Macaca mulatta: one gene and its partners. The protein of the gene in region 1 binds, or shares a complex with, the protein of each later gene. Links are inferred from orthologs where the notes say so. Each region holds a gene or a part of one and is shown in the gene's direction. Other genes may lie near its edges. The genes, in order: LSM2, USP39, PRPF4, LSM3, SART1, LSM7 and SNRNP40.

Region 1 (3,972 bases):
TTTCACTGTTGTTGCCCAGGCTGGAGTACAATGGCACGATCTCCACTCACTGCAACTTATACCTCCCGGGTTTACAGGCGCGTGCCACCACACCTGGCTAATTTTTGGGTTTTTAGTAGAGACAGGATTTCGCCATGTTGGCCAGGCTGGTCTAGAACTCCTGACCTCAGGTGATCCATTTGCCTTGGCCTCCCAAAGTGCGGGATTATAGGCGTCAGCCACTGCGCCCGGTCAATTTTTTTTTTTTTTTTTTTTTTTAAGACGGAGTCTCTCTCTGTCACCCAGGCTGGAGTGCGGTGGCCGGATCTCAGCTCACTGCAAGCTCCGCCTCCCGGGTTCACGCCATTCTCCTGCCTCAGCCTCCCGAGTAGCTGGGACTACAGGCACCCGCCACCTCGCCCGGCTAGTTTTTTGTATTTTTTAGTAGAGACGGGGTTTCACCGTGTTAGCCAGGATGGTCTCGATCTCCTGACCTCGTGATCCGCCCGTCTCGGCCTCCCAAAGTGCTGGGATTACAGGCGTGAGCCACCGCGCCCGGCCAATTTTTTTTTTTTTTTTGAGACGAGTCTCGCTCTGTCGCCCAGGCTGCAGTGCAGTGGCATGATCTTGGCTCCCTGCAACCTCCACCTCCCGGGTTCACGCAATTCTCCTTCCTCAGCCTCCCGAGTAGCTGGGATTACAGGCGCCCGCGACCACGCCTGGCTAATTTTTTTTGTATTTTTAGTGAAGACGGGACTTCACCATGTTGGCTAGCCTGGTCTCGAACTCCTGACCTCACACAATCCATCCACCTTGGCCTCTCAGAGTGCTGGGATTGAAGGCGTGAGCCACCGCCCTCGGCCTTTTTTTTTTTTATCAGCTGAATTTAAGATTAAAAACATTTTTTAATTTTATTTTTTGAATTTTATGTTTTTACTTTAACAAATATAGAAAAGTGCACACTTCATAATCTTCACAAACTCCCCACAATTCTCGATAGGATGTGTGTAGAGGGCACGAACACATCACGCTGTGGACGGCAGGGTTATGGAAAACAAAACCTTTTGAGCTCAGACGCCGAGTGCCTCCACCCGCCTAGCAGCCCAGGCTAGGGTCCGCGCCTGCGCAATGGGAGCCGGCCGGCCCTGGAAGAAGTCGGAACGAAGGAAACCCCGCCCCTTTCCCGGCTTCCTCCTCCCCTCGGTTTTACCCAGCTTGCGCTCCCCAGCCGCAAGTCGGCCGCGCTTTACCCTTCAGCGCTTGGAGGGTTCTGCGTCCCTTCCCGCTGCGCCTGCGCGGTCCCGCCTCGCCCCACGCGCGGGCTCGCGCTTCGGTTCTCCCAGACCTGGTCTCAGCATCCGGCTCTTTTCTCGCTCCGGCCCGCTGCCCGCTGCGCCAGCACCATGGTGGGTACCGTGACGTCAAAAGGGGTCGCCCTCGGGGATCTCGGACGGTTGGGGCAGGGGGGTCTGGCCTTTGTCCCCCTAGGCTGGAGTTAGGTCCGGAGTTTTTATCTTCATCGTTAGTCCTGTTCCTCAAGTTCGTTGAGGAGACACCTGAGAGCAAATGGGATTTTTTTTTTCCATGATGAGGAAAAAAACCCCAACCCTGAGAGAGATTCAGTGGGGACAGCGGGAGACGGAAAAGTTAGACCTTAGAGCACTTCTCTGCCAGGCAAGCTTCGGCAGGGTGCGGGTGGGATGTTTTCTGTAATTCATTGAAAGGAGTGGGCAGGTACCCGAGAAAGGTGGTCGATTGAGAGAGCACACTGGGGAGGCCGAGGTATGCAGGGCAGAGCCTCTCTGGGACTTTAAGTGATGGGCTCAATGCAGTGTGCAGAATAATTTGGGCTCCAGCCTTTCACCTCTCAACCAATTATTCTTTCCTGTGAAATTTTGAGAACTGTTAGGGATGCAATGGGGTTCACAATACCGGTATTTGGTAATACTGTCAAGGGACACTCCTCCCTACCATGTTCCTTCCCACATGATGGTTTTCCCCCTCTCTCCCAATAGCTCTTCTATTCTTTTTTCAAGTCCCTTGTGGGCAAGGATGTGGTCGTGGAACTCAAGAATGACCTGAGGTAGGTACCTGTTCCAACAAGTCTGTTGGGGGTGGGTGTGCCCAGGGCCCTGGAACCTCTTTAATTTGAGAAATATTTGAGGGCTGGGTGAGGTGGAATATGTACAGAAGAAATAAATGGCCGGGTGCGGTGGCTCACGCCTGTAATCTCAGCACTTTGGGAGGCTGAGGTGGGCGGATCACGAGGTCAGGAGATCAAGACCATCCTGGCTAACACGGTGAAACCCTGTCTCTACTAAAAATACAAAAAATTAGCCAGGCATGGTGGCAGGCCCCTGTAGTCCCAGCTACTTTGGAGGCTGAGGCAGGAGAATGGCGTGAACCTGGGAGGCAGAGCTTGCAGTGAGCCCAGATCACGCCACTGCACTCCAGCCTGGGTGACAGAGCGAGGCTCTGTCTCAAACAAACAAAAGAAATAAATGGGTGGGGTGCAGTGGCTCACGCCTGTAATCCGAGCACTTTGGGAGACTGAGGAGGGAGGATTGCTTGAGCCCAGGAGTTTGAGGCTGCAGTGAGCAGTGATTACTCCATTGCACTCTAGCCAGGGCAATAGAGCAAGACCCCATCTCTAAGACAAATTTTAAAATTTAACAATAAATAAATGCCTTGTGCCTTAAATTTACAGATAAGCTTGGGGATTGTATTGTGTATTGGAAAACAATACAAAGCAATATACAGTTTAAAGAGTAAATACTGGTCAGGTGTGGTGGCTCATGGGCTGGACGTGTGGCTCATGCCTGTAATCCCAGCACTTTGGGAGGCCGAGGTGGGTGAATCACGAGGTCAGGAGTTCAAGACCAGTCTGGCCAAGATGGTGAAACCCCGTCTCTACTAAAAATACAAAAATTAGCCAGGCATGGTGGCAGGTGCCTGTAATCCCAGCTACTTGGGAGGCTGAGGCAGGAAAATCGCTTGAACCTGGGTGGCAGAGGTTGCAGTGAGCTGAGATTACACCACTGCACTCCAGCCTGGGTGACAGAGTGAGACTCTGTCTCAAAAAAAATAAATAAAGAGTAAGTACTAGGCTGGCCATGGTGGCTCACACCTGTAATCTCAGCACTTTGGGAGGCTGAGGCAGGAGGATCACTTGAGTCCAGGATGTCGAGACTAGCCTGGGCAACATAGAACCATTTCTATAAAAGATTAGCCAGATGTGGTTTACATGCCTGTAGTCCCAGCTATTCGGGAGACTGAGGTGGGAGGATCACTTGAACCCAGGAGGTCGAGGCTGCAGTGAGCCATGATTGTACCACTTTACTCCAGCCTGGGTGACAGAGGAAGACTGTCTCAAAAAAGAACAGGCCAGGCCAGGCGCAGTGGCTCACGCCTGTAATCCCAGCACTTTCGGAGGCCGAGGTGGGCGGATCACGAGGTCAGGAGATTGAGACCATCCTGCCTAACATGGTGAAACCCCATCTCTACTAAAAATACAAAAAATTAGCCTGGTGTGGTGGCGGGCGCCTGTAGTTCCAGCTACTTGGGAGGCTGAGGCAGGAGAATGGCATGAACCCAGGAGGTGGAGCTTGCAGTGAGCCAAGATGGCACCACTGCACTCCAGCCTGGGCGACCAGAGCGAGACTCCATCTCAAAAAAATAAACAAAAAAACAGAACAGGCCATAGGCTGGGCATGGTGGCTCATGCCTGTAATCCCAGCACTTTGGGAGGCTGAGGTGGGTGGATCACAAGGTCAAGAGATTGAGACCAGCCTGGCCAACATGGTGAAACCTACGTATTAGATATGCTACTGTGTATCTAATACCTAGTATAGGCCAGTTGTATGATAGGTGCTTAAGGAAAGAAAAATAATATCTGAAGACCTATTGACTAAGCACTATTCTGAATACATTTATTGATTGATTTCTCAAACACTCCTTAGTAATATGTACTATTGCTGTTATACATATGAGGAA
Region 2 (3,500 bases), on another chromosome or scaffold:
GTCTATGAAAAGACCTGGGATTCAGTGATTTTGGGTTAGACACAGAGATCCCCTTGTAGATTAGCCATGGGAGAGGATCTACCCTGTGTTACTTCAATCTTTACACCTACTGATTGGGACTTTTTCTGTGTGTGGTGGGATGTTCATGGCCAAAGTGTTCTTTGTTTTTGTAGAAATTGCTGTTGTTTGTAGACATTTCTTGTGAACTCAGCTCTTAAACAACTTAGCATTTTCTTTTGCTTTGCAGTATGTGTTGAAGCCCACTTTCACAAAGCAGCAAATTGCAAACTTGGACAAGCAAGCCAAATTGTCCCGGGCATATGATGGTACCACTTACCTGCCGGGTATTGTGGGACTGAATAACATAAAGGCTAATGACTATGCCAACGCCGTTCTTCAGGTAAGATCAAGACGGGAACACTGAGGAAGAGAAGGACACCCAGAAGGCTGGGCACAGTGGCTCACCCCTGTAATCCCAGCACTTTGGGAGGCCAAGGCGGGCGGATTGCCTGAGGTCAGGAGTTCCAGCCAGCCTGGCCAACATGGCGGAACCCTGTCTCTACTAAAATTATAAAAATTAGCCAGGTATGGTTGTGCAAGCCTGTAATCCCACCTATTCGGCAGGCTGAGGTGGGAGAATCAACTTGAATCCGGCAGGCAGAGGTTATAGTGACCCGAGATCGTGCCACTGCACTCCAGCCTGGGGAACAGAGTGAGACTCTGTTTCAAGAAAAAATAAAAAAGAGAGGGACAGGAAATAGTATGTATGCTGGCCAAGGAATTACTGCCTTTGGCCGGGCGTGGTGGCTCATACCTGTAATCACAGCACTTTGGGAGGCCAAAGTGGGAGGATCACCTGAGGTCAGGAGTTGGAGACCAGCGTGGCCAACATGGAGAAACCCCATCTCTACTAAAAATACAAAATTAGCTGGGTGTGGTGGTGCATGCCTGTAATCCCAACTACTCGGGAGGCTGAGGCAGGAGAATCGCTTGAACCTGGGAGGTGGAAGTTGCAGTGAGCCGATATCATGCCATTGCACTCCAACCTGGGCAACAGGAGCGAAACTCCTCCATCTCAAAAAAGAAATTACTGCCTTCTTATAGAGTATAGTCAGATGATCCTCAGACACCAAGTCTTGCTAAGGACTCTACTTGAGTAATTGTTCTGCAACAGGCAGAGCATTCCTTTGCTCACTGGGCTGCTGTCAAATGGTGAGGCTTTTTCTTTTTCTTTTTTTTTTTTTTTTTTTTTTTTGAGACGGAGTCTCACTCTGTCGCCCAGGCTGGAGTGCAGTGGCCGGATCTCAGCTCACTGCAAGCTCCGCCTCCTGGGTTCATGCCATTTTCCTGCCTCAGCCTCCCGAGTAGCTGGGACTACAGGCGCCCGCCACCTCGCCTGGCTAGTTTTTTGTACTTTTTAGTAGAGACGGGGTTTCACCGTGTTAGCCAGGATGGTCTCGATCTCCCGACCTCGTGATCCGCCCGTCTCGGCCTCCCAAAGTGCTGGGATTACAGGCTTGAGCCACCGCGCCCGGCTGGTGAGGCTTTTTCATGCCTCTGGCTCATGGCCTTTGTAACTTCCAGGGAATGCGGGACCAAGTTTGTGTTGCCTTGCAGTGTCAAGTAAGAAACATGCCAGATGCATTTTTTTTTTTTTAAATGGTGTAGATGTTTGTCATGCTGGCTGATCAATGACTTTCTCTTGCCCATATGCTCATAACCCTGAAATGGAAAAGACAGAAAACCAAAGTTGTCCTATTTTCTTTTCTTTTCTTTTTTTTTTTGAGACGGAGTCTCAGTCTGTTGTCCAGGCTGGAGTGTAGTGGCGGGATCTCAGCTCACTGCAACCTCTGCTGCCCGGGTTCAGGCGATTCTCCTGCTTCAGCCCCCTGAGTAACTGGGATTACAGGCGCCTGCCACTGCGCCTGGCTGATTTTTGTAGTTCTAGTAGAGACAGGGTTTCACCATCTTGGCCAGGCTGGTCTTGAACTCCTGACCTCATGATCCACCTGCCTCAGCCTCCCAAAGTGCTGGAATTACAGGTGTGAGCCACCACGCCCGGCCAATTTTTAAATGTTGGTAAGTATAATAAGAAAACAATAATTCTACTTCACCAAGAACGTGATTAAAAAATTGTAATTGTAAACACAGGCTTACTGGGGAAAAAATGTATAAATTGTGAGGGGCTGGGTACGGTGGCTCATGCCTCTAATCCCAGCTCTTGGGGAGGCCAAAGTGGCAGGGTCCCTTGAGGCCAGTAGTTTGAAACCAGCCTGGCAACATAGCGAGACCGTGTCTCTGTTTAAAAAAAAAAATTAGCTGGGCACGGTGGTGCATGCATGCCTGTGGTCCTAGCTGTTTGGGAGGCTGAGGTGGGAGGATCCTGTCAGCCCAGGAATTCGAGGCTGTTGGAGAATTTTGAGGACTTTGAGAAGTACAGGCATTACTGGTGTGAGTCACTGCACCCAAACTTGCTTCACTTCTAAAGTTGATTATTTATATTTTTTTCTTGAGTTATTGCACCTTATAGACTCCTTTCCTATTGGTTCATCTTACTGAGCTTTAAGAAATATATAATGAAGTTATGCCCTTTTCTGTTGGATATGTTGCAAATGTTTTCTGCTAGTACTTATTTGGCCTTTAAATTTTTCTAAGTGATATTTTTGTCATGAAGAATTGGACAAAAAACTGTAAAGGCGTAGTTTTTACATTTGGTGTCTGCTCTTGGTGTCATGCCTAGTCTGTGGAAAGGTCAAATTCTTAGGTAGAGAGAGACTTTTCATCAGATGTTCCCTTTAAATCCTCTCATGGCTGCGTGAAAACTAATTTTTTTTGAGATGGAGTCTTGCTCTGTCTCCCAGGCTGGAATGCAGTGGCGCAATCCCAGCTCATTGCAACCTCTGCCTCCCAGGTTCAGGCGATTCTCCTGCCTTAGCCTCCCAAGTAGCCGGGACTACAGGTATGTGCCACCACGCCTGGCTAATTTTTTGCATTTTTAGTAGAGATGGGGTTTCATCATGTTAGCCAGGATGGTCTCGATCTCCTGATCTCGTGATCCGCTCCCCTCGGCCTCCCAAAGTACTGGGATTACAGGTGTAAACCACCATGCCCCGCTGAGTGAAAACTTATAGGATGGACAGATAGAATTTGGATTTGGTCAGAGCTGTTAGTCTTGGCTTTCTGATGAATTTTAGTTCATGTAGGAACGTCTCTTTATAAAAATAAATGGATGAACAAACCCTGTGTGATGATGTTTCCGCTAAAATAGGGTTGACTGGACCAGGTCATCCATCTGGAGGGTGGATAATTCTTCTCTGAGGATGTCCAATATTATTTGTATTGTTGCTGAAGCCAGAGTGCAACATTTCTCTATAAGATAGACAACTGAGAATTAGGATAAACTTTATGCATCCTCTTGTTTTGAGAGTAAATCTCTCTTTGAAGTAATTATTCTACAAGTTGGAAGTCCTTGTTTCTTTAGCTGGGCTCAGCTTGTCAGG
Region 3 (3,500 bases), on another chromosome or scaffold:
TGATCCTCTAAGCCTAGTTAGATCCCCCTTACAAAGTCCCCTCTAGCACTGTGTGCTTACTGCTGTCGTGATAGGTAATATAATATAGTTCGCCAGTACTCTCTGTCGTTTCCCCAGGACTAAGCTACTTGAAATCAAGAACGGATTCTTAGTCATCACTGTACAGTTAGCACCTGAGTCCGTATCCAGTACATTGTGGCACTGAGTGAAAGTTGGCAGTCTTCACAAACCAAGTGGTAGCAGTGTAGGGGCTCATTGACTCTAAACTGCATAGAGTAATTGCTTATAGTTGAATTTTGGGAATTTCCAAATAGAGAAGACTGAGTGGGAGAAACCACAGTGGGAGTTTAGCCATCCCCACTTGACTCTTTGAAGGTTGTTGGAGGGCTGGGCATAGTGGCTTATGCCCATAATCCCAGCACTTTGGGAGACTGAGGCAGGAGGATCACTTGAGCCCAGAAGTTCAAGACTTGCCTGAGCAACATAGCAAGACCTTGTCTCTGCAGAAAAATTTAAAAATTAGCCAGTTGTAGCATTATACCTGTAGTCCCAGCTACTCAGGAGGCTGGGGTGGAAGGATCGCTTGAGCCCAGGAGTTTGAGGCTGCAGTGACCCATGACCGTGCCGCTGCACTCCACCCTGGGCAACAACAAGACCTCATCTCTTGAAAAGAAAAAAAAAAAAAAGGTTGCTAGGTGGTTTGAACAGTAAGAGAATAGTAGAGGCTTGCTCCCATCTTAGGGGAGCTTTAAAAACAGTGTTTAAAACTGTGTTAAAGTGTACTTTAAAAACAGTGTTATGTCAACCATGTTTAAATTCTGATCTTTTTTTTTTTTTTTTTAACAGGTTAAGAAATATCCTCTCAGTCGTCGGTACTGATGCCTTGAAAAAGACCAAAAAGGATGATGAGAAGTCTAAGAAGTCCAAAGAAGAGGTAGAACATGTCTTTAACTTCACAGTGTAAACATGAAGGAAATGAGGAGATAGGTCTCTCATTTTCTGCTTTCAATGGTTTGCTTTGCTAAGATGATGGAGGGAAGTGTCTTTGAAGGCTCTACCATTCAAGAATAGTTGCTGGCAGTAGTTTTGGTTCCTTTGTAAGTATGAATGGAGCTAAGTGAGTTTTCCAGTCAGGAAAGAATCATAGCATTCCTGGTATAACCATCTATTTACATATCATAGAAAAAAAATACGGTAGAAAGCCATATGCCTGATTTCATACTATTACCAAACGAATTCACCTTCCTTCTGGGCAGTTAACATGGAGAAACGACAGGAGTAGAATGCTTCAGATTTGACCTTTCTGCTCTTAATTTGCCTTTCAGTATCAGCAGACCTGGTACCATGAAGGACCAAATAGCTTGAAGGTGGCAAGACTATGGATTGCTAATTATTCATTGCCCAGGTAAAGAGAGCCTCCAGTAGAAGAAAGAAGCATATTTTGTGTGTGTGTTTCAGGAACTGAGTGCTTGATAATGACTGTGGTTGTTAAATGAAATTGAGGGGTAGAGATACATGTGGACCCTTGTTTACAACCCTGTTGCTCCTGGTGATGGTGTTTCTGTGTCACAGGGCAATGAAACGCTTGGAAGAGGCCCGACTCCATAAGGAGATTCCTGAGACAACAAGGACCTCCCAGATGCAAGAGCTGCACAAGTCTCTCCGGGTAAGATGCTCCCAGTGATTGTCCCACGTCTTAAAGGTTCTTCATATTTGTGTGATTTTTCTACTTTGGCCCACCTCTGGGAAGGTAGAGGTGACTAGAGCGATCCCTCCCTGCTTGAGCTGAGCTGCTGTGACATGGAAGGAGCAATCAGTTAACGTGACAGGAGCTTGCTGTGCTTTGTACTCAGCAGAGGCCTATGGTTCTCTTCTTTATTTCTCCCTGTTAATACGTCAAAGTTTCTCTGGGGTTTTCTGTTTATATTTATCTGACTCAGAAGTTGTGATACTAAGACTATAGAAAACAGCTGGGTGCAGTGGCTCATGCCTGTAATCCCAGCACTTAGGGAGGCAGAGGTGGGTGGGTCACCTGAGCTCAGGAGTTTGAGACCAGCCTAGTCAACATGATGAAACCCTGTCTTTACTAAAAGTACAAAAATTTGCCAGATATGGTGTCATGCGCCTGTAATCCCAGGTACTTGGGAGGCTGAGATGGGAGGATCGCTTGAACCTGGGAGGCAGAGGTTGCAGTGAGCCAAGATCACACCACTACACTCCACTCTGGGCGACAGAGCAACACTCTGTCTCAAAACCACAGAAGAATCTTGGGATGGGTTAAAACTGAAAAGTTGCTTTGTTGTTCTTTTTTTGGTGGAAAAGCCAAGGAACTCAGATTAACCTATTAATGATCATCGTGTGTGTGTGTTTTTTTTCTTTTTAAGTCTTTGAATAATTTTTGCAGTCAGATTGGGGATGATCGGCCTATCTCCTACTGTCACTTTAGTCCCAATTCCAAGATGCTGGCCACAGCTTGTTGGTAAGTTCCATTTTACAGTGACATTTTTTCCTAAATGGGGAACAGGCTCAGGAAAATATTAGCATTTGTCTTAGACGTCTATTTGTACGTCCTCTTTCTCTGCTTCTCATGATCACACCAAACTACAGATATCAGTCAGTGCTCTACCTGTTGTATAATATGATGCAGACTTGGTTTAGCCGTTCTCAGTCTTCACCAGTGACCCCAGAGATTCATTACACTCTAGCACTCTGTCACATTCTTGACACTAGTATTTTGGAGCAGGTCATGTAGTGAGTTTACAGACCAACTAGTATCCATAACTCAGTCTGGCTTTTCTTTTTCAGTTATGTGATCTCCCTAAGATACTTAATCCCTGTCAGCTTCAGTGTCCTTATCTGTAAAGTGGGATGAGGTAGTGTTTGTAAAGCATTTTGCCTTGACAGTGCCTGGTATGTAGTAAGGGCTCATTAAATGTTAATTATTGGTTTATCTTTGTTTTATTTTCTTATCACCACATACGCAGAAAACTCAGGATGTGGTAACTTTGTTGTTTTGTTTGAGTTTGGTTGTTTGGTTTGGTTTGGTTTTTTTTTTTTGAGATGGAGTCTCACTTTGTCGCCGAGGCTGGAGTGCAGTGGCACAGTGTCCACTCACTGCAAGCTCCGCCTCCTGGGTTCACACCATTCTCCTGCCTCAGCTTCCTGAGTAGCTGAGACTACAGGTGCCTGCCACCATGCCTGACAAATTTTTTTTTTTTATTTTTTTTTTATTTTTTTTATTTTTAGTAGAGACAGGGTTTCACCATGTTAGCCAGGATGGTCTCCATCTCCTGACCTTGTGATCCACCCGCCTCGGCCTCCCAAATGGTTGTGTTTTTTTGTGAGACATGGCTAACTAAAGAGAAAGGAAACTTAGATTTAATACACAGGAGCTACTTGACTAGGCCGACCTTGAGACTGGTTTAGGAGAAAGCCAAGGGACTGCACAAATCAGTCCACCTCTCCAAGCCTCATTACCTTCACTGTAAAGTATAAATGAT
Region 4 (4,134 bases), on another chromosome or scaffold:
GAAGGAATATCAAAGGAAAAGGCTCAAGAAATAACTTGGCATATTTGAGGAAGAGAAAGGAGGCCAATGAGGAGGGTATCTGGCAAGGAAACAAGTGGTAGGAGAAACAGGAGAGGTAGCAAGAGCCAAAACACGTAGCATCTTGCAGGCCAGGATAAGACAACTGGATTTTAAACTAAGAGCAATGGAAAACCAAGGAGAGTTTAAAGCAGGAGCATGGCATGATTTTTTTTTTTTTTTTTAAAGATTATTTGCGTTGCTGGATGCAGAGCTGGGAGGCCAGTCAAGAGGAAACTGCAGTCACTCAACTGAAAGGTGATGGTGACTTGGACAGGGGTTGTGGCCATGGAAATGAAGAGAAGTGGACAAATTTGAAATACAGTCTGAGGCTGAACTGACTGGACTTGCTGACGGGACTGGATGTGTGCACATAAGAAAAAGGTGGACTTTGTTTTATAACAAGTATTGGGACTGGAAAAACGGAGGAAAGCATAGATTTGAAGGGGAAGACCATGAGCTCTGCACTGTCCACGACAAATGTAAGAAGCCTATCCAATATCCACGAGGGGAAGTCAGGTGGGATCCCACTGTGGAACTCTGGGCGAGACTCAGCTGAAGTTATCATTCGGGAGTCAGCACACTGCATCACTCTACGTCCTGGTCCGTCCGTCCGTTTTCCTGGGACACAAATAACTGCCTTCTCCGCGTTCAACCCTGAACATCTGCGCTGTATCCTCTGGACAACGGGGAGCGGGAAAGAAGCTACGCAGGAGCTTGGGTCGGGCGAGGCTCACGGGAAGCCGCTCTGGGTGCAGAGGACAAAGGCGCAGGGACAGCGGGGAGGGCCGGCCGCGGCCTGCCGTGCTGCCCCCACTGCGCGGAACGCGCGCAGCAACCTCCTCCCGGCCTCCGCGTCTGGACTCCCGCCGCCCCTGCCTCTGGGCCTCCTCCGCCCACCGGCAGAGTCTCCCGCGAAGCCCGCTGGGCCACGCTCTCACCCTCCTCCTCCTCACGCCGGGTCTTGCTCTTGGCCTTGGACTTCTGGCTGCGCGTTTCGCGTCCCCGCGGCTCCCCGCCGGCCGCGCGCTTCCGAGCCATATTGCTTGTCGGGGAAAAATCCACTTCGCGAGTGACGCACCAGGCCGCGATGCGTTAGAACGCAGGCCCCGCCCCGAGGCGGGCGCGTCTGGCCACGCCCCTTCGTTGGAGGCCTAGTCACGCCCCCAAAGGAAGCTCCGCCCCATACCCGTGGCCACTAAAAAACCGCGGGAAGCAGGCAAGAGCACAGCAGGTTTCTATTTCCGGTGTATTGTAGCATCACGTTTCCGGAGCTCGGCGTTGCTCTTGTGTTCTCGCGAGAGGCGGGAAAGGGCGCAGGGTTTGAAACATGGCGGACGACGTAGACCAGGTGAGTGAATTTTAAGGCGGTGGCTCGGCGCCGCTTCTTGTACTAAACTGCTTTTTCCAAACGCAGGAAAAATGGCCAGTCGCGCCTCTTCTTTCCAAGTCACACGGCCTAATCCGCCCCATCCTTTCCGTAAACACCCCTGTCCGAATTTTGCTGCAGGCCCTGAGGTCTTTTCCGTTAGAAGGCCACCTGATGACTATTCATCACACTCTTCGCTTTGTTTTTTTAAATCTGTAAATTATTATGCGTGCCTACCTCACGGAGCTGTCAGGATTCCAATAGAAAGCCAGATAATAAAGTTAGGAGTTGTTATTACTGAGCACAACAATTATTTACTCATTCAGCAGAGAGAGTGAACATCAGCTTTGTATGGTTAGACACTGTTCTAAGAGCCAGGGACACTGACATCGATATATAAGTGATCCTTGCCATGACTTGGAGCTTATATTCGCGAGGAGAACAGATAAATATAAATATGTAAGATTTATAGGAACTGTGATGTGCTATGAAGGAAACAAGGAACTGGTATGCAGAATAACAGATGGTCCTAGAAGCTTTTTCACCTGGTCTTTTTCTTCCTCAAATATCTTTGGAGATCATGCTACAACTTAAACTTTCTACTGAAATCTCACCTCCTCAGAGAGGACTTCTGCCCAAATAGCACTCCCCCTACTCTGCTTACCCTGCCTCATTTTTCTTCATAGAACGTTATTTTTTCATATTAAATGTATGCATCTTTGTTTAATGTGTATCTCTCCTGACTAGAATGTAAGTGCCATAACAGTAGGCATTTTGTTTTGTTCATTCTTTTGTCCTTGGGGTTTAGAACAGTGCTGGAAATACTCAACAAATATTTGAGTGAATGAGTTAGATGATCAGAGGAGGCCTCTTTTAAAAGCCAATGTATAAAGCTACAGGATGAAAAAGAACAGAAAGTGGGCATCCCAGACAGAGGCTTAGGTAGCAGTAGAGCTCTGTCATGTGCATATTCTTACAGTATTATAATTATTCATATGCCTATCCACATTAGAATGAGCTCCTTGAGGGTGGAGATTGTGACTTCTGTATCATTGTAATCTAACAGTTGGTTATCTGATCCTTTAACAAACACCTGTTGAACTGAGGGACATAGGGACCAGTTGAGTTAGGTTATTTTTTTTTCTCTCATCGGGCCTTTTGAATCTTTAGCGCCTGTTACGAATTCAGTTACCTTCCTCCACTGGCCTTGTGTACTTACTAAAGAAGCTCTCCTTGAATCATCTAACTCTTTAATGGCTGCAACCCTCCCTTCCATGTGGGTGACCCCAAGTCATCCTAGCCCTGACCTCTAAAACCAGTGTTTCCAGCAGTTCTTTAATAATATAATATTAGTAGGAATCTTTTCTTTTCTTTTTTTTTTTTTGGATGGAGTCTCACTCTATCGCCCAGGCTGGAGTGCAGTGGCGTGATCTCAGTTCACTGCAACCTCTGCCTCCTGGTTCAAGCGATTCTCCTGTCTCAGCCTCCCAAGTAGCTGGGACTACAGGCACGTGCCAGCACGCCTGGCTAATTTTTGTATTTTTAGTAGAGACGGGGTTCACCATGTTGGCCAGGCTGGTCTCAAACTCCTAACCTCAGGTGATCTGCCTTTCTCAGCCTCCCAAAGTGCTGGAATTCAGGCCTGAGCCACCACGCCCAGCCAAAAGGAACCGTTTCTAAGTATTAATATTTTCTGCTTTCCTGGCACTGTTTTAAATGCATTAACTAGTTTCATCCTCATAAGAATCCAGAAGGAAGGTTGTGGCTTTCTCAATTACAAATGAAGAATCTGAGAATTACAGATGGCATGATTTTTAATCTCAGTTCATAAGTGTCAGGTCACAGCCAGGAGTTGAACCCAGACTGCCTGACTCCAAAGTCAGTGCTTGCTTGCTTGTTGGCACCATCTTGGCTCACTGCAACCTCCACCTCCCAGGCTCAGGCAATCCTCCCACCTCAGCCTCGGAGTAGCTGGGACTACAGGCACATGCCACCATGCCCGGCTAAGCCAGTGCTTTGAACCAGTGTTCTATTCTGGCTACTAAATATTCATCTTACTGGCCAGTTGGCAGCCTAACCTCAACCTGTGCTGAATTCATAATCTTCCCATAAACCTACACCTCTACTTGGCATTCTGACTAGTATATGGTAGGCATTAAGTGAGTGTTTTTCCTATGATTACATAATATTTGAGATAAAGCTAAAGTTCCTAAGACCCTATACCCTGAAATCGGGTCAGGCAGTTTGGATTTTGAGGGAACAAAGTATAGTCATGATTATTTTGCTGTGTAACTCCTTCTTATGTATGCGTGTTTTAATCTACATTTATATAGCACATACTATGTGAAAAGTTCTGTTCTAAGCCTTCATATATGTCACTTAAGCCTCATAAAAACAGTATTAGGTAGACACTATTATCTCCATTTTACAGATTAGGAGACTGAGGCAGAAAAAGGTTAAATAACTTGCACATGGTCATACAGCATAGCAGTGATTTAAGCACTACTTTATCTCTAGTACTATATTACTAAACCTGTTTCTGTTATCAGCAACAAACTACCAACACTGTAGAGGAGCCCCTGGATCTTATCAGGCTCAGCCTAGATGAGCGAATTTATGTGAAGATGAGAAATGACCGAGAGCTTCGAGGCAGATTACATGTGAGTAAATTTATCAAGTTACCTTGAAATCAGATTCCTTCCCACCCC
Region 5 (3,500 bases), on another chromosome or scaffold:
AGGTGAAGGATTGTTCCTTCCTGTCCTGACCCCTTCTGGCCCCCTGAGCTGGAAGGGGGCAGGGTGAGTGGCTCCCTCCTCTCCCCACCAGCCATGGGCGGGCATAGCCTCACGTCTGGGCCCCCCTTCCAGAGGCGGGCACCAAGGAGGAGCCCGTGACAGCCGATGTCATCAATCCTATGGCCTTGCGACAGCGAGAGGAGCTGCGGGAGAAGCTGGCGGCTGCCAAGGAGAAGCGCCTGCTGAACCAAAAGCTGGGGTGAGGGGTCCTGGCCAGGGCAGGCAAGGGAAGGGCTGGGGAGGCCACCATCCTTGGCTGCCTTTTGAGTGGGGTTGGGAGCAGGAGCTGGGCTCCTGGAGCATCACTTTCTCCCCTCTTCAGGAAGATAAAGACCCTAGGAGAGGATGATCCCTGGCTGGACGACACTGCAGCCTGGATCGAGAGGAGCCGGCAGCTGCAGAAGGAGAAAGACCTGGCAGAGAAGAGGGTGAGCACCTGGGCAGCATGGGGTGGTTGCCCAGTGCTTTTGCTGGCCTGACTGGGCATTGAGGCAGGGGGTGGACCCCAGAGAGTTGAGACGGGGTTCGGAGAGGGGATGGGCTGTGGTTGGTAGCATCCGCTTTGGATTCTCAGCAACTTTCCTGCAAGGCCTGCTCTTTTTGCACTCCGCTTGGTAGAGCCCTGAGTGTTTTCTGGTGGTGCTGAGTGGCCTGAGGTCCTAGGTCACCCCTCCCTGTCCCATAGGCAAAGTTACTGGAGGAGATGGACCAAGAGTTTGGTGTCAGCACTCTGGTAGAGGAGGAGTTCGGGCAGAGACGGCAGGTGAGGCTGCAGCAGCCGGGGTGGGTGGTGCAGGGCACACTGGCGGCCTTGATGCTGGAATCCCAAGGTTGGGCGCATGGAGGGAGGTTCTTTACTCGCCTGATTCTTCTGTTAGGACCTGTACAGTGCCCGGGACCTGCAGGGCCTCACCGTGGAGCATGCCATTGATTCCTTCCGAGAAGGGGAGACCATGATCCTCACCCTTAAGGACAAAGGTGACGCGAGCTGGGTGCCTTGGGTCGGGGCACAGCCTCTGCTGAGTTGTGGACAAGTGTGAATGGCCACTGCTCTGTGCTGCCCGCAGGCGTGCTGCAGGAGGAGGAGGACGTGCTGGTGAACGTGAACCTGGTGGATAAGGAGCGGGCAGAGAAGAATGTGGAGCTGCGGAAGAAGAAGCCCGACTACCTGCCTTATGCCGAGGACGAGAGTGTGGACGACCTGGCGCAGGCACGGCCCAAGCAGGCTGGGCGGCGGGGGCTGGGGTGGAGAATGTCGGGAATAGGGGCTCTGAGGAGGTGGTGGCTCAGTGGCTTTTCAGGAGCCACCCTGGGTCCCAACCTGTACCTCTTACCTTGTAGCAAAAACCTCGCTCTATCCTGTCCAAGTACGACGAAGAGCTTGAGGGGGAGCAGCCGCATTCCTTCCGCTTGGAGCAGGGGGGCATGGCCGATGGCCTGCGGGAACGGGAGTTGGAGGAGATCCGGGCCAAGCTGCGGCTGCAGGCTCAGTCCCTGAGCACGGTGGGGCCCCGGCTGGCCTCCGAGTACCTCACACCCGAGGAGATGGTGAGCCCTCTTGCGCCTTGTACTTGGGGTCATGATTCTCCCTCCCCTTGGGGCTCCTGCGCTGCCCGCAGGCACTGGGAAGAGAGGGCAAGTATTTCTGTTCACAAAGCGCTTGGCCTCGTGGGCAAGCAGTAAATGGCAACCTGGGGAGGCACCAGGTGTTGACGGGTCAGGGCTGCTGAGCCAGATGGGCCCCAGTTGGTGTTTCTGCTCTGCCATACTGCCAGCTTGTGCCTTGGGTAAGCCATTTAACTGTGAGCCTGGGGTGCCCCATCTGGAGTGGCAGTGATAGGAGCCACCTCCTGAGGTTGCTGTGAGGATGAGTGACAGTGTGGCTGAGGGGTGACTGGAAAGGTGTGCGTGGATTCTGTCCGCAGAGTGACTGTGTGAACGTGAGGTAGTCAGCTGGTGTAGTAGGCGTCTTGCTCAGTGGGTAAGAGCAGGACTCTGGAGCCAGACTGCCCGGCTTTCCCACCTAGGAGCTGGGCGACCTTGGGGAAGGTACTTAACCTCTCTGTGCCCCAGTTTCCCTAATCACCAGTGGAAGGGAGATAGTAACCACCCCACGTGTTGCTCATGTGTGAGAAGTGCTCAGGACACTGGCTAGCACAGAAGAACACCAAAGAAGTGTTCATCCTCGCGGGCTTGTGGTGGCCTGCCTTTCCCCGCCCCGCCCCACGCCTCCCTCTTCCCCTCAGGTGGCCTTTAGAAGGACCAAGCGGAGGGTGAGGAAAATCCGCAAGAAGGAGAAGGAGGTCGTAGTGCGGGCGGATGACCTGTTGCCTCTCGGGGACCAGACTCAGGATGGGGACTTTGGTTCCAGGTGGGCTTGGACACCATGGTGGGGTGAGAGGGCTGGGCTGGGGTGTCCCGGGGGCCGGTGCTCACCAGAGAGGCCTCCTTCCCTCAGACTGCGGGGACGGGGTCGCCGCCGAGTGTCTGAGGTGGAGGAGGAGAAGGAGCCCGTGCCTCAGCCCCTGCCGTCGGATGACACCCGAGTGGAGAACATGGACATCAGTGATGAGGGTGAGGGCCTGGCCAGGGGGTGGGAGGGGGCAGGGACAGGAGCCCTGGGTTGGAGGAGATTGTCTGAGCAGGCATCCCCTGTGTATCCCCCAGAGGAAGGTGGAGCTCCACAGCCGGGGTCCCCGCAGGTGCTGGAGGAGGACGAGGCAGAGCTGGAGCTGCAGAAGCAGCTGGAGAAGGGACGCCGGCTGCGACAGTTACAGCAGCTGCAGCAGCTGCGAGACAGTGGCGAGAAGGTGAGGCTGGGCATGGGCAGGCCTGGGGCTACCAGTGCGTCAGCAGTCACCTGTCCTCACGAGCACATGTGTCATAGGCAACAGCCACATTCCTGTCTGAAGCCTCTTTTCCATTTGTTTTTTGTTTTCTGGGTTTTGTTTTTTTTTGAGACAAGTGTTTTGCTCTGTCGCCCAGGCTGGAGTGCAATGGCGTGGCCTCGGCTCACTGCAGCCTCCGCCTCCCTGGTTCAAGTGATTCTCATTCCTTAGCCTCCTGAGTGGCTGGGATTACAGGCACCTGCCACCACACCCGGCTAATTTTTGTATTTTTAGTAGAGACGGGGTTTCACCGTGTTGGCCAGGCTGGTCTCCAACTCCTGACCTCATGATCTGCCTGCCTCGGCCTCCAAAAATGCTAAGATTACAGGTGTGAGCCACTGCGACCAGCCCTGGTTAAAGTCATGTTTTCTGTTTAAAAGTCATGTTTTGCAAAAGTTTTTAGATGCCTGCTTTAGTAGGGGATCCTTTCCTGGCCTGTCTCTTCCTGTGCATGTTTGTTGAGTGCCTGCTGTGGGTAGTGCATTGTTCTTGGGCCGAGAAGGTCATTGGTGAACAGGACAGCCACGGGGCCCTGGACTCAGGGAAGTGGCT
Region 6 (3,980 bases), on another chromosome or scaffold:
GCTGTGTCGAGGATGGACTAGGGATGTGGGGGACAAAGGCAGCCACAGCAGGGGGATGGCGGTGGGGCTGGAAGAGTGGAGACTAAGAAGGAGCCCAGTGGCAGCAACGCCTTAAGAGAACTCTGAGAGAGGAGTGAAGGTTAAGGGCCGCATTTGTGAGGCTGCTCCGGGTTCCATTCCCTGAGCCACCAAACTCAGGTAAGAGGGAAGACTTGGAATTAAGAAAATAAAAGATGCAGTTACGACAGTGCCATCTCGTAGACTGTCCCCGCTAGAACCTGACACTCTACATCAAAGGATACACAATGAATATAAGGAAGGCGTGCTGTCCCTAGGCGCTGGTCACCCTGGGTAGCATCTCCAGAATCCACACCATAGTCGACCCCCCTTCTCCAGACGAGCAACCGACGCTCAAAGCAGGGAATTCCCTCGTCCAAGGTCACGGAGTAAAAGATGGAGCGGGGATACGACCCCAGTGCAGGGCTGGGCTCTTGGCCGCTCCAGGATGCTGGCCAGTCACTGGGGGACACGCGGGACGCCTCTGGGTTCCCCCACCGCACCCCCTAGGGTGAGGTTAGCTTAGCACCCGGCCATTCCGCCTAAAGGGAAACTGAGGCTCGGAGCGGGGTGGGCGGCCGCCTGCCCAAGGCCACAGAGCGGGAGAGAGGCGTCCCCCGCGGCGGCTGGAGACCCCGAAACGGACAAGCAGAACCGGGAGATGGAGGGGGCACAAACTTCAGGCCCGGTGGGAAGTGAGGGGCGCTGCAGCGGCGGAGGGCCTCCGAGGCGGGGAAGGGAGAGAAGCCGGGGACAGCCCCGCAAGGTCACGGCCGGGCCCCGGCACCGCCGGCCGACAACGAGGGGACCGCGGATCCCCGAGGCTCGACCCCCCAAGACGGGCCAAGAGGGGTCGTTCCTGCGCGTAGCCTCGGGGCCGAGAGGCCGAAGGGCCGCAGCCTGCGGTGCCGTCGGGACCGGTGCCGCGCTCACCTGGGCCGCGAGGAGCAGAAAGGCCGCCACAAGCCGCGCCAGCGCAGCCGCCGCCACCGCCGCCATCTCGGCCGGTGCCCGCCGCAACCGTCGGCAGATGTTTCCCAGCAACGCCCCGAGACCCCGGGCCACGCATGCGCCGCGCATGCGCGTGGGGGGGGAGGGGAGAGGTCACAGGGCACGGGGCGGTGTCTGCGAAGAGCCGCACGGCGCGACAAGATGGCGGTGAGCGCGCGGCGGAATCCGGAGCCGGGGGGCGTGGGGCTCGGGCCGCGCTCCAGGCCTCATGCGCTCTGCTTTCCCCGCAGGATAAGGAGAAGAAGAAAAAGGAGAGCATCTTGGACTTGTCCAAGTACATCGACAAGACGATCCGGGTGAAGTTTCAGGGAGGACGCGAAGGTGAGGCGGCTCCCGCCGTTGGCACCCCCCCTTTAAAATTTTAAAATAAACTCAGCAAGAGAGGTGATGAGGATGCATGCAGAGGCGCCTCTTTTATTTATTTTTATTTATGTATTTATTTGAGACGCAGTCTCGCTCCGTCGCCCAGTCTGGAGTGCAAGTGGTGCGATCTCAGCTCACTGCAACCTCCGCCTCCCGGGTTCAAGCGATTCTCCTGCCTCAGCCTCCTGCGTGGCTGGGGCTACAGGCGCCACCACTCCTGGTTAATTTTTGTATTTCTAGTAGAGACGGGGTTTCACCATGTTGGCCAGGCTGGTCTCAAACTTCTGACCTCAAGTGATTCGCCCGTCTCGGCCTCCCAAAGTGCTGGGATGACAGGCGTGAGCCGCCGCAGAGGCGCCTCTTTACACGCTTGACGCCGACTACCTTGTGCAGGCTTCCGAATTACGCCGGGAGGTAGGAACTGGTATGGCCATTTTGCAGGCGGGGAAACTGGGGCAAGGAGCGGGAAACAAACGTAACCCAAAGTCACAGTGGCGCAGCCGGTATTGGGATTTCCGGCTTGGCCTCCAGAGCAGTCCTGTGTGTCCAAGGACTGCCCCAGATCCCCACAGATCTCCCGGCTTCTCCTCTTCCTCCCTCTAAGTCAAGGTCTTTCCCGCACAGCAGTGTGGACACATTTGGGGCCGGATTCTCTGGAGTGGGGCCGTCCTGGGGCACTGCAGGGTGCTGAGCAGCATCCCTGGCCTCCACCAAGTTGTGACAACCTAAATAGCCTCAGACATTGCTTAGTGTTCTCTGGGGATAGGATCGCCCCCCGACCCCCAAGCTGTGATTGGGAATCACAGCTACTAAGGTCAGTCTCCACTCAGCGGCCAGAGGCACCTAATGAAAAAGAAATGGAGGCTTCTTGCTCCCTGCTGAAAAGCTCTGAGGCTCCCCGTTGTTTTGGAGTAAAATCCGAATCCATACTTCTGATTATGACTGCAAAGGGCGGCAAAAGCACAAGTTCCACAGGTGCTTGCTCTGGGAAGCCCTCCCTGACCCTGGCGTCAGGCCCCCCATCGTTCTAGGATCCTGGTGGCACCTGTCACCGTTTGCGGTTTCGTGCATGTTAACCTGATGCTTGCCTCTGCCTGCGACTCTTCCATGGAATCTAGTGAAGACAGGGCGAGCTCTCAGAGGGCAGGAAGCATTCGCATGGGCAGTGGGCTGGTGATGCATGCTGCAGCTCTTGGCGGGGCGCAGGGACTCACGCCTGTAACCCCAGCACTTTGGGAGACTGAGGCAGGCGGATCATATGATCAGGAGATCGAGACCAGCCTGACCAACATGGGGTTTTGTGAAACCCCATCTCTACGAAAAATACAAAAAAATTAGCTGGGCGTGGTGGCGCACACCTGTAATCCCAACAACTCAGGAGGCTGAGGCAGGAGAATCTCTTGAACCCAGGAGGCAGAGGTTGCAGTGAGCTGAGATCGCGCCACTGCACTCCAGTCTGGGAGACAGAGCGAGACTCCGTCTAAAAATAAATAAATCACACACACGCACACACACAGCAGAGAAAGGGTTTGCTCCCTGAAGGACTCACCTGATATGGTCAGGCTCACCCAGGGTGTTTCCCTCTAGATTGGCTCAAAGTCAGCTGGTTCAGGGGCTTAAACAGCTGCATAACCTAAGTGCAGGAGTGACGTCATGTCCCCTCAGAGTCACAGGCCCGAGCCCACACCCCGGGGAGGGGAACCTTGGTTAGAGACCTACCTACCTCAGTGCTCACATCTGTCCCCGTGAGGAGGGCTGGCTCACTGGTCAGGCTGGTGCCAAGGACCTGAACCGCTGCGTCTGACCCCATCTCATAGGTGACAAGTTTCATTTTGCAGGGGAGGGACTTGAGCACAGAGAGAGGGAGCCGTGGAGGTAGGAGCTAAAGCCTGTATGCAGGTGGGCAGACCTTCTCTGTAGAAGGCCAGACAGCAAATATCTTCAGCTTTGCAGCCCAGATGGTCTCTTGTCACAACCAGTGAGCTATGCCCGCAGAGCAGGAGAGCCGCCCTGGTCAGTGCCTGAGCGGGCGAGTGTGCTGGTGGGCCAGTGAAACTTTGGCATACAGAGATGAGCGGTGGGCCACTTTCGCCTCTGGTCGTAGTTCGCAGCGCAGAACGGCCATGGACAGGCTCACAGCCCTGCCTTGGGAGAAGATAGGCGGGCAGAATAATGCCTGGGGTGCCTGCTTCCTGAGATTGGTGGGGGGCATGCAGAGGGCAGCACCCTAAGGGGTGTGGGTTGGTGTCTGGAGGAAGCACCTGAAAGATGACAGGGGTAAGAAGGAGGGTAGGGAGCGGGTGGCTGTGGGACGCCCCTCAGTGAGCGCAGAGGCGGAACCGCTCCTGGGCCTGGGCTGGAGGAGCCTGGGGGGAGAGGACGGGAGTCCCGGACAGGGAGGGTGGGCTGGCCTCTGCTGAGGACACGCAGCTCCCCCTTCACCCTTCTCAGTGTCACCAGACACTGCGGAGCAGGATCAGATGGCAGAGGTCACCACCGGGTCAGAGAGCCCTAACCCAAGGTGCCAAGTTGTGACCTAAGGCGGCGAG
Region 7 (3,971 bases), on another chromosome or scaffold:
GCTTCATCTTGTACCATACTCCCCTTCATTCTCTTTGTATCAGTCACACTGGCTCTTTGTGCTTTTAGTCATTTTTCCTCCCAAGTGCCTCAGGGCTCTGAACAAGTAGTTCTCTACGGAAGGTTCTGCCTTTACCTCTTCACTTAATTAATTACAATTCTTCCTGCAGCTACCAGAGCAGGCATCTTTTCCTCTGAAAAACCTTCCTGCTTATTTCAGGCACTCAGCATCAAACAGCACTAGGAGGCATTTCCATGTATTAGTGAGGTCATTGTTTAACGTTTTCCCCACCAGACTTAAACGCCCTGAGAGTAGGGACCGTGTCTGGTTCACGACGTACCCCCAACGCGCTGCTAAATAAATATCAGCTGGACGACTGACGCAATGACCACGTTCATGGGCATGAGTCTCAAATTTCTCAACAAGACTGCGCTCTGGAGAAGGAGTCGGACATTTCCTTCATCATTGTCTCTCTCAGGGGGGCAGAGACTAGGCCCTAATCAAAAACTGCAAAATCAGTGGCAGAAACAAGTCAGCCTCCTCGGCCAAACGGGGCGCCGGAGGAAGTTGGGACACAGGCCTTTCTCCCTGGGAATGCCCGGCACAGGACTGGCCACGACGGGCGCTCTTGAAGAAGGGAGCCGCAGGGACTGGGTCTTGCCGCCAGAGACCCCCAAGGCTCCGCTCCCGCCCGGAAAGGGAGCCCATGCTACTACTTACCACAGCTGGGGACTCGGGGCCCCGCCTCCCACCCCTTGCTATCGGCACCCTCAGCTGAGAAGGGCAGCTTCAGACTGCACAACCGAGGCGTCGCCTTCAGACTCAGGCTGCCACCCACCCAGCTCTTCCTCATACGTACTAGGCGTCAGCTCCAGGCCCCCGAGTCCCGGCGCTGAACTAAACGCCGAGCCCAGTCAGCCAGCGCGTTTCCACCCACAAGACCCAGCGCGCCTAGGGAGGTCGCCAGCTCCGTCCACCAATCCTGGAATCGCACTCTCATGACGTCAGAAAGATATGCCCAATAACAAGAGACTATCCGAGGGCAGTGCAAATGGGTATATTGAAAACCGATTGGTTCTTCCAAGCTGGAAGTTGTGGAGGAAGGACTAAGCTGGAACCAATTGCGTGGCGCCTGAGGGGGGCAGCGCGGTCAGTGGCGGCGCTGAAGAGACCGGTTGCCGCCATGATAGAACAACAGAAGCGTAAGGGCCCAGAGTTGCCGCTGGTTCCAGTCAAGCGGCAGCGGCATGAGTTGCTACTGGGAGCGGGGTCGGGCCCGGGAGCCGGGCAGCAGCAGGCGACGCCGGGAGCTTTGCTGCAAGCGGTAAGTGAAGAAGCAGGCGGCCTTTGGCCCTCAGCTCATCTTCCTCCCCTCAGAGCGCTGTATCTGGTGACCCGGCACCGACCCTTCCCGCATTGCGGGGGGCAGAACGAGAGTTTCTACCTAGAGTTAAAGCACACCAACATTGTAAAAGCGCCTCATAGCCTGCGGATGCTCAGTACTTGTTCGCCCGTTTGGCGCTGGTTTTCAGCCTCTCGACTGCCTTGTGAGGTAGCGTTAGAATTAGCGTTGAGAACCTTGGGCTCACAACCCGGACCCGGGCTTAAGCATCCTGACTCTAACATGGATCTAGCGTAGAACAGAAATTCCGAAGACTTTGTAGAATGAATGAATGAGGGAGGGAGGAAAAGAGGGAAATGATTGGTGTTGGCTCGTTTTGGGACTTTGGGCAAGTTGCTTTTCCCTTTATTTCTCTGCACTAGTATTATTAACAACTGAATAGCAGCTAACATTCGTTGACTCTTGTACTAAGGTGTTTCGTATATGAAATTTCCATTGATCTTGGTAGCAGCCTGTTAGGAACGTTATTAACCCATTTTGCAGATGGAAAAGCAGACTTATCAAGCACGTGATAGAAACAGATGTTGAACTGAGAAACCATGCTCCTAACTATATTTTTTGTAAGATGGAAATAGTGATCACACTTCTAATGCCCTGTTTAGGCTCAGACGAGGAAATACGAGTGTCCTCTCATCTCCTCAATAAATCCTGCTGGCACCGTTCTCAAAATAGATCTAGAATTGCTACTTCTACCATTTCCATCACTGCCTCATGGCCTAAGCCGTTATTATCTCATCTGGCATTTTTGTAGTGGGACCCTAACTGGTCTTCCACTTTCTGCCTTTGTAGCAGCACCTGTTACCAAGCCAATAACCAAAGGAATCCTTCTAAACAACGGATCACATTACATTCTGCAGAAAACTTTCTGGTGGCTTTCTACTTCATCCAGAGTAAAAACCAAAATTCTTATAATTATTTGTCCTCTTTCCCTTTACCTCTCTGACCAATTTCTCATTGCTCACCCGGCTTCAGTTACACTCTCTTCCAAACCTCTGCCTCTGGACCTTTGCATTTGCTGTCCTCCCTATGGGATTGCTCTTCCCAAATGTTCACATGGTTTATTATTCAGCTCCTGCGAATATTTGCCCAAATATAATTTTTTCAGTGAGGGTTTTCCTGACCACCCTGTTTTAAATTGCAGTACCACATAATGTGGAACCCACATTGCTTCTCTCTCTCTCTCTCTCTCTCTCTCTCTCTCTCTCTCTCTCTCTTTTTTCTTTTGAGATAGAATCTCTCTGTGTTGACCACTGGCTCGCTGCATCCTCCGCCACCAGGGATCAAGTAATCCTTCTGCCTCAGCCTCCTGAATAGCTGGGACCACAGACACAGACCACCACACCTAATTGTATTGTATTTTTTTGTAGAGACAGGATTTCACTCCTGAGCTCAAGCAATCTGCACACCTTGGCCTCCCAAAGTGCTGAGATTACAGGCATGAGCCACCTTGCCCATCCCTTCTTTTTTTCTATAGCACATGACACCAAGTATATATTTTGCTTGTTTTCTCTCACCTTCTCTCCTCCCTTCCCCCTTTCCCACTGGAACAGCAAGCTCCATTGTTTATTTTGTTCATAGCTGTTTGCCCAGTGCCTAGCACATAACTTTTTATTTTTAAGATGGGATTTTGCTTTTGTCACCCAGGCTGGAGTGGAATGGCGCGATCTCAGCGCACTACAACCTCCGCCTCCCGGGTTCAAGCGATTCTCCTGCCTCAGCCTCCCGAGTGGCTGGAATTACAGGCGCCCACCACCACGCCTGGCTAGTTTTTGTGTTTTTTTAAGTACAGATGGGGTTTCACCATGTTGGTCAGGCTGGTCTCAAACTCTTAACCTCAAGTGATCTGCCCACCTCAGCCTCCCCAAGTGCTGGGATTACAGGTGTGAGCCACCGTGCCCAGCCTGCACATAACATTTTTTAAAACTAAATGAATGTGGCGGGGCTTGGTGGCGGGCACCTGTAATCCCAGCCACTCAGGAGGCTGATGCAGGAGAATCGCCTGAACCCAGGAGGCGGAGTTTGCAATGAGATGAGATCATGCCATTGTACTCCAGCCTGGGCAACAGAGCAAGACTCCTTCCCAATAAATAAATAAGTAAGAATGTGCTGGAAAGTGCTGAAGAGATTTGGGGATTATGGGTAGTATACTTCTCCCATTTGACAAGTGAGCATATCAGCCCATGTTTAGATGAATTGCCCAAGTGTCATCTTAGTGTCCAAGACCATAATCAAAACTACTTCACCCGTGCTGAGGATCCCTTCGCTATGAAAAAAATAAGAAAGAAAAATAGGCCATGCGCAGTGGCTCATGCCTGTAATCTCAGCACTCTGGGAGGCCAAGGCAGGCAGATCACTTGAGGCTGGGAGTTTGAGACCAGCCTGGCCAACATGGTGAAACCCCATCTCTACTAAAAATGCAAAAACTAGCTGGGCATGGTTGTGCATGCCTGTAATCTTGGCTGCTCGGGAGGCTGAGGCACCAGATCCCTTGAACCCAGAAAGCAGAGGTTGCAGTGAGCCGAGATCACGCCACTGCATGCCAACCTGGGTGACAGAGCAAGACTGTGTC

What was found.
Region 2: LSM2 (region 1) and USP39 share a complex: the UniProt entries of both Homo sapiens proteins name them as parts of the U4/U6-U5 tri-snRNP complex. The link is inferred for Macaca mulatta from reciprocal best matches to the Homo sapiens genes LSM2 and USP39.
Region 3: LSM2 (region 1) and PRPF4 share a complex: the UniProt entries of both Homo sapiens proteins name them as parts of the precatalytic spliceosome. The link is inferred for Macaca mulatta from reciprocal best matches to the Homo sapiens genes LSM2 and PRPF4.
Region 4: LSM2 (region 1) and LSM3 share a complex: the UniProt entries of both Homo sapiens proteins name them as parts of the precatalytic spliceosome. The link is inferred for Macaca mulatta from reciprocal best matches to the Homo sapiens genes LSM2 and LSM3.
Region 5: LSM2 (region 1) and SART1 share a complex: the UniProt entries of both Homo sapiens proteins name them as parts of the U4/U6-U5 tri-snRNP complex. The link is inferred for Macaca mulatta from reciprocal best matches to the Homo sapiens genes LSM2 and SART1.
Region 6: LSM2 (region 1) and LSM7 share a complex: the UniProt entries of both Homo sapiens proteins name them as parts of the precatalytic spliceosome. The link is inferred for Macaca mulatta from reciprocal best matches to the Homo sapiens genes LSM2 and LSM7.
Region 7: LSM2 (region 1) and SNRNP40 share a complex: the UniProt entries of both Homo sapiens proteins name them as parts of the U4/U6-U5 tri-snRNP complex. The link is inferred for Macaca mulatta from reciprocal best matches to the Homo sapiens genes LSM2 and SNRNP40.

The regions. Positions count from the first base shown.
Region 1 is NC_133409.1:150,509,493-150,513,464, forward strand, and holds the start of LSM2 (U6 snRNA-associated Sm-like protein LSm2), read left to right. Parts: upstream 1-1,172; 5' UTR 1,173-1,382; coding exon 1,383-1,385; intron 1,386-1,994; coding exon 1,995-2,062; intron 2,063-3,972. UniProt on the Homo sapiens protein: Plays a role in pre-mRNA splicing as component of the U4/U6-U5 tri-snRNP complex that is involved in spliceosome assembly, and as component of the precatalytic spliceosome (spliceosome B complex).
Region 2 is NC_133418.1:38,765,493-38,768,992, reverse strand, and holds part of USP39 (ubiquitin carboxyl-terminal hydrolase 39), read left to right. Parts: intron 1-247; coding exon 248-400; intron 401-3,500.
Region 3 is NC_133420.1:45,029,425-45,032,924, reverse strand, and holds part of PRPF4 (U4/U6 small nuclear ribonucleoprotein Prp4), read left to right. Parts: intron 1-846; coding exon 847-934; intron 935-1,325; coding exon 1,326-1,405; intron 1,406-1,572; coding exon 1,573-1,666; intron 1,667-2,384; coding exon 2,385-2,479; intron 2,480-3,500. UniProt on the Homo sapiens protein: Plays a role in pre-mRNA splicing as component of the U4/U6-U5 tri-snRNP complex that is involved in spliceosome assembly, and as component of the precatalytic spliceosome (spliceosome B complex).
Region 4 is NC_133407.1:152,980,521-152,984,654, forward strand, and holds the start of LSM3 (U6 snRNA-associated Sm-like protein LSm3), read left to right. Parts: upstream 1-1,334; 5' UTR 1,335-1,387; coding exon 1,388-1,408; intron 1,409-3,975; coding exon 3,976-4,086; intron 4,087-4,134. Other genes in the region: XPC (DNA repair protein complementing XP-C cells), read right to left, coding at 999-1,098. UniProt on the Homo sapiens protein: Plays a role in pre-mRNA splicing as component of the U4/U6-U5 tri-snRNP complex that is involved in spliceosome assembly, and as component of the precatalytic spliceosome (spliceosome B complex).
Region 5 is NC_133419.1:8,451,985-8,455,484, reverse strand, and holds part of SART1 (U4/U6.U5 tri-snRNP-associated protein 1), read left to right. Parts: intron 1-132; coding exon 133-259; intron 260-382; coding exon 383-488; intron 489-745; coding exon 746-823; intron 824-938; coding exon 939-1,038; intron 1,039-1,127; coding exon 1,128-1,270; intron 1,271-1,401; coding exon 1,402-1,608; intron 1,609-2,306; coding exon 2,307-2,431; intron 2,432-2,518; coding exon 2,519-2,634; intron 2,635-2,727; coding exon 2,728-2,870; intron 2,871-3,500. UniProt on the Homo sapiens protein: Plays a role in mRNA splicing as a component of the U4/U6-U5 tri-snRNP, one of the building blocks of the spliceosome. May also bind to DNA.
Region 6 is NC_133424.1:3,075,559-3,079,538, reverse strand, and holds the start of LSM7 (U6 snRNA-associated Sm-like protein LSm7), read left to right. Parts: upstream 1-1,180; 5' UTR 1,181-1,209; coding exon 1,210-1,215; intron 1,216-1,298; coding exon 1,299-1,389; intron 1,390-1,456; exon of another isoform or gene 1,457-2,545; intron 2,546-2,980; exon of another isoform or gene 2,981-3,064; intron 3,065-3,154; exon of another isoform or gene 3,155-3,576; intron 3,577-3,980. Other genes in the region: SPPL2B (signal peptide peptidase-like 2B), read right to left, coding at 991-1,056. UniProt on the Homo sapiens protein: Plays a role in pre-mRNA splicing as component of the U4/U6-U5 tri-snRNP complex that is involved in spliceosome assembly, and as component of the precatalytic spliceosome (spliceosome B complex).
Region 7 is NC_133406.1:209,565,584-209,569,554, forward strand, and holds the start of SNRNP40 (U5 small nuclear ribonucleoprotein 40 kDa protein), read left to right. Parts: upstream 1-1,171; 5' UTR 1,172-1,183; coding exon 1,184-1,324; intron 1,325-3,971. Other genes in the region: ZCCHC17 (zinc finger CCHC domain-containing protein 17), read right to left, coding at 174-185, 734-853. UniProt on the Homo sapiens protein: Required for pre-mRNA splicing as component of the activated spliceosome. Component of the U5 small nuclear ribonucleoprotein (snRNP) complex and the U4/U6-U5 tri-snRNP complex, building blocks of the spliceosome.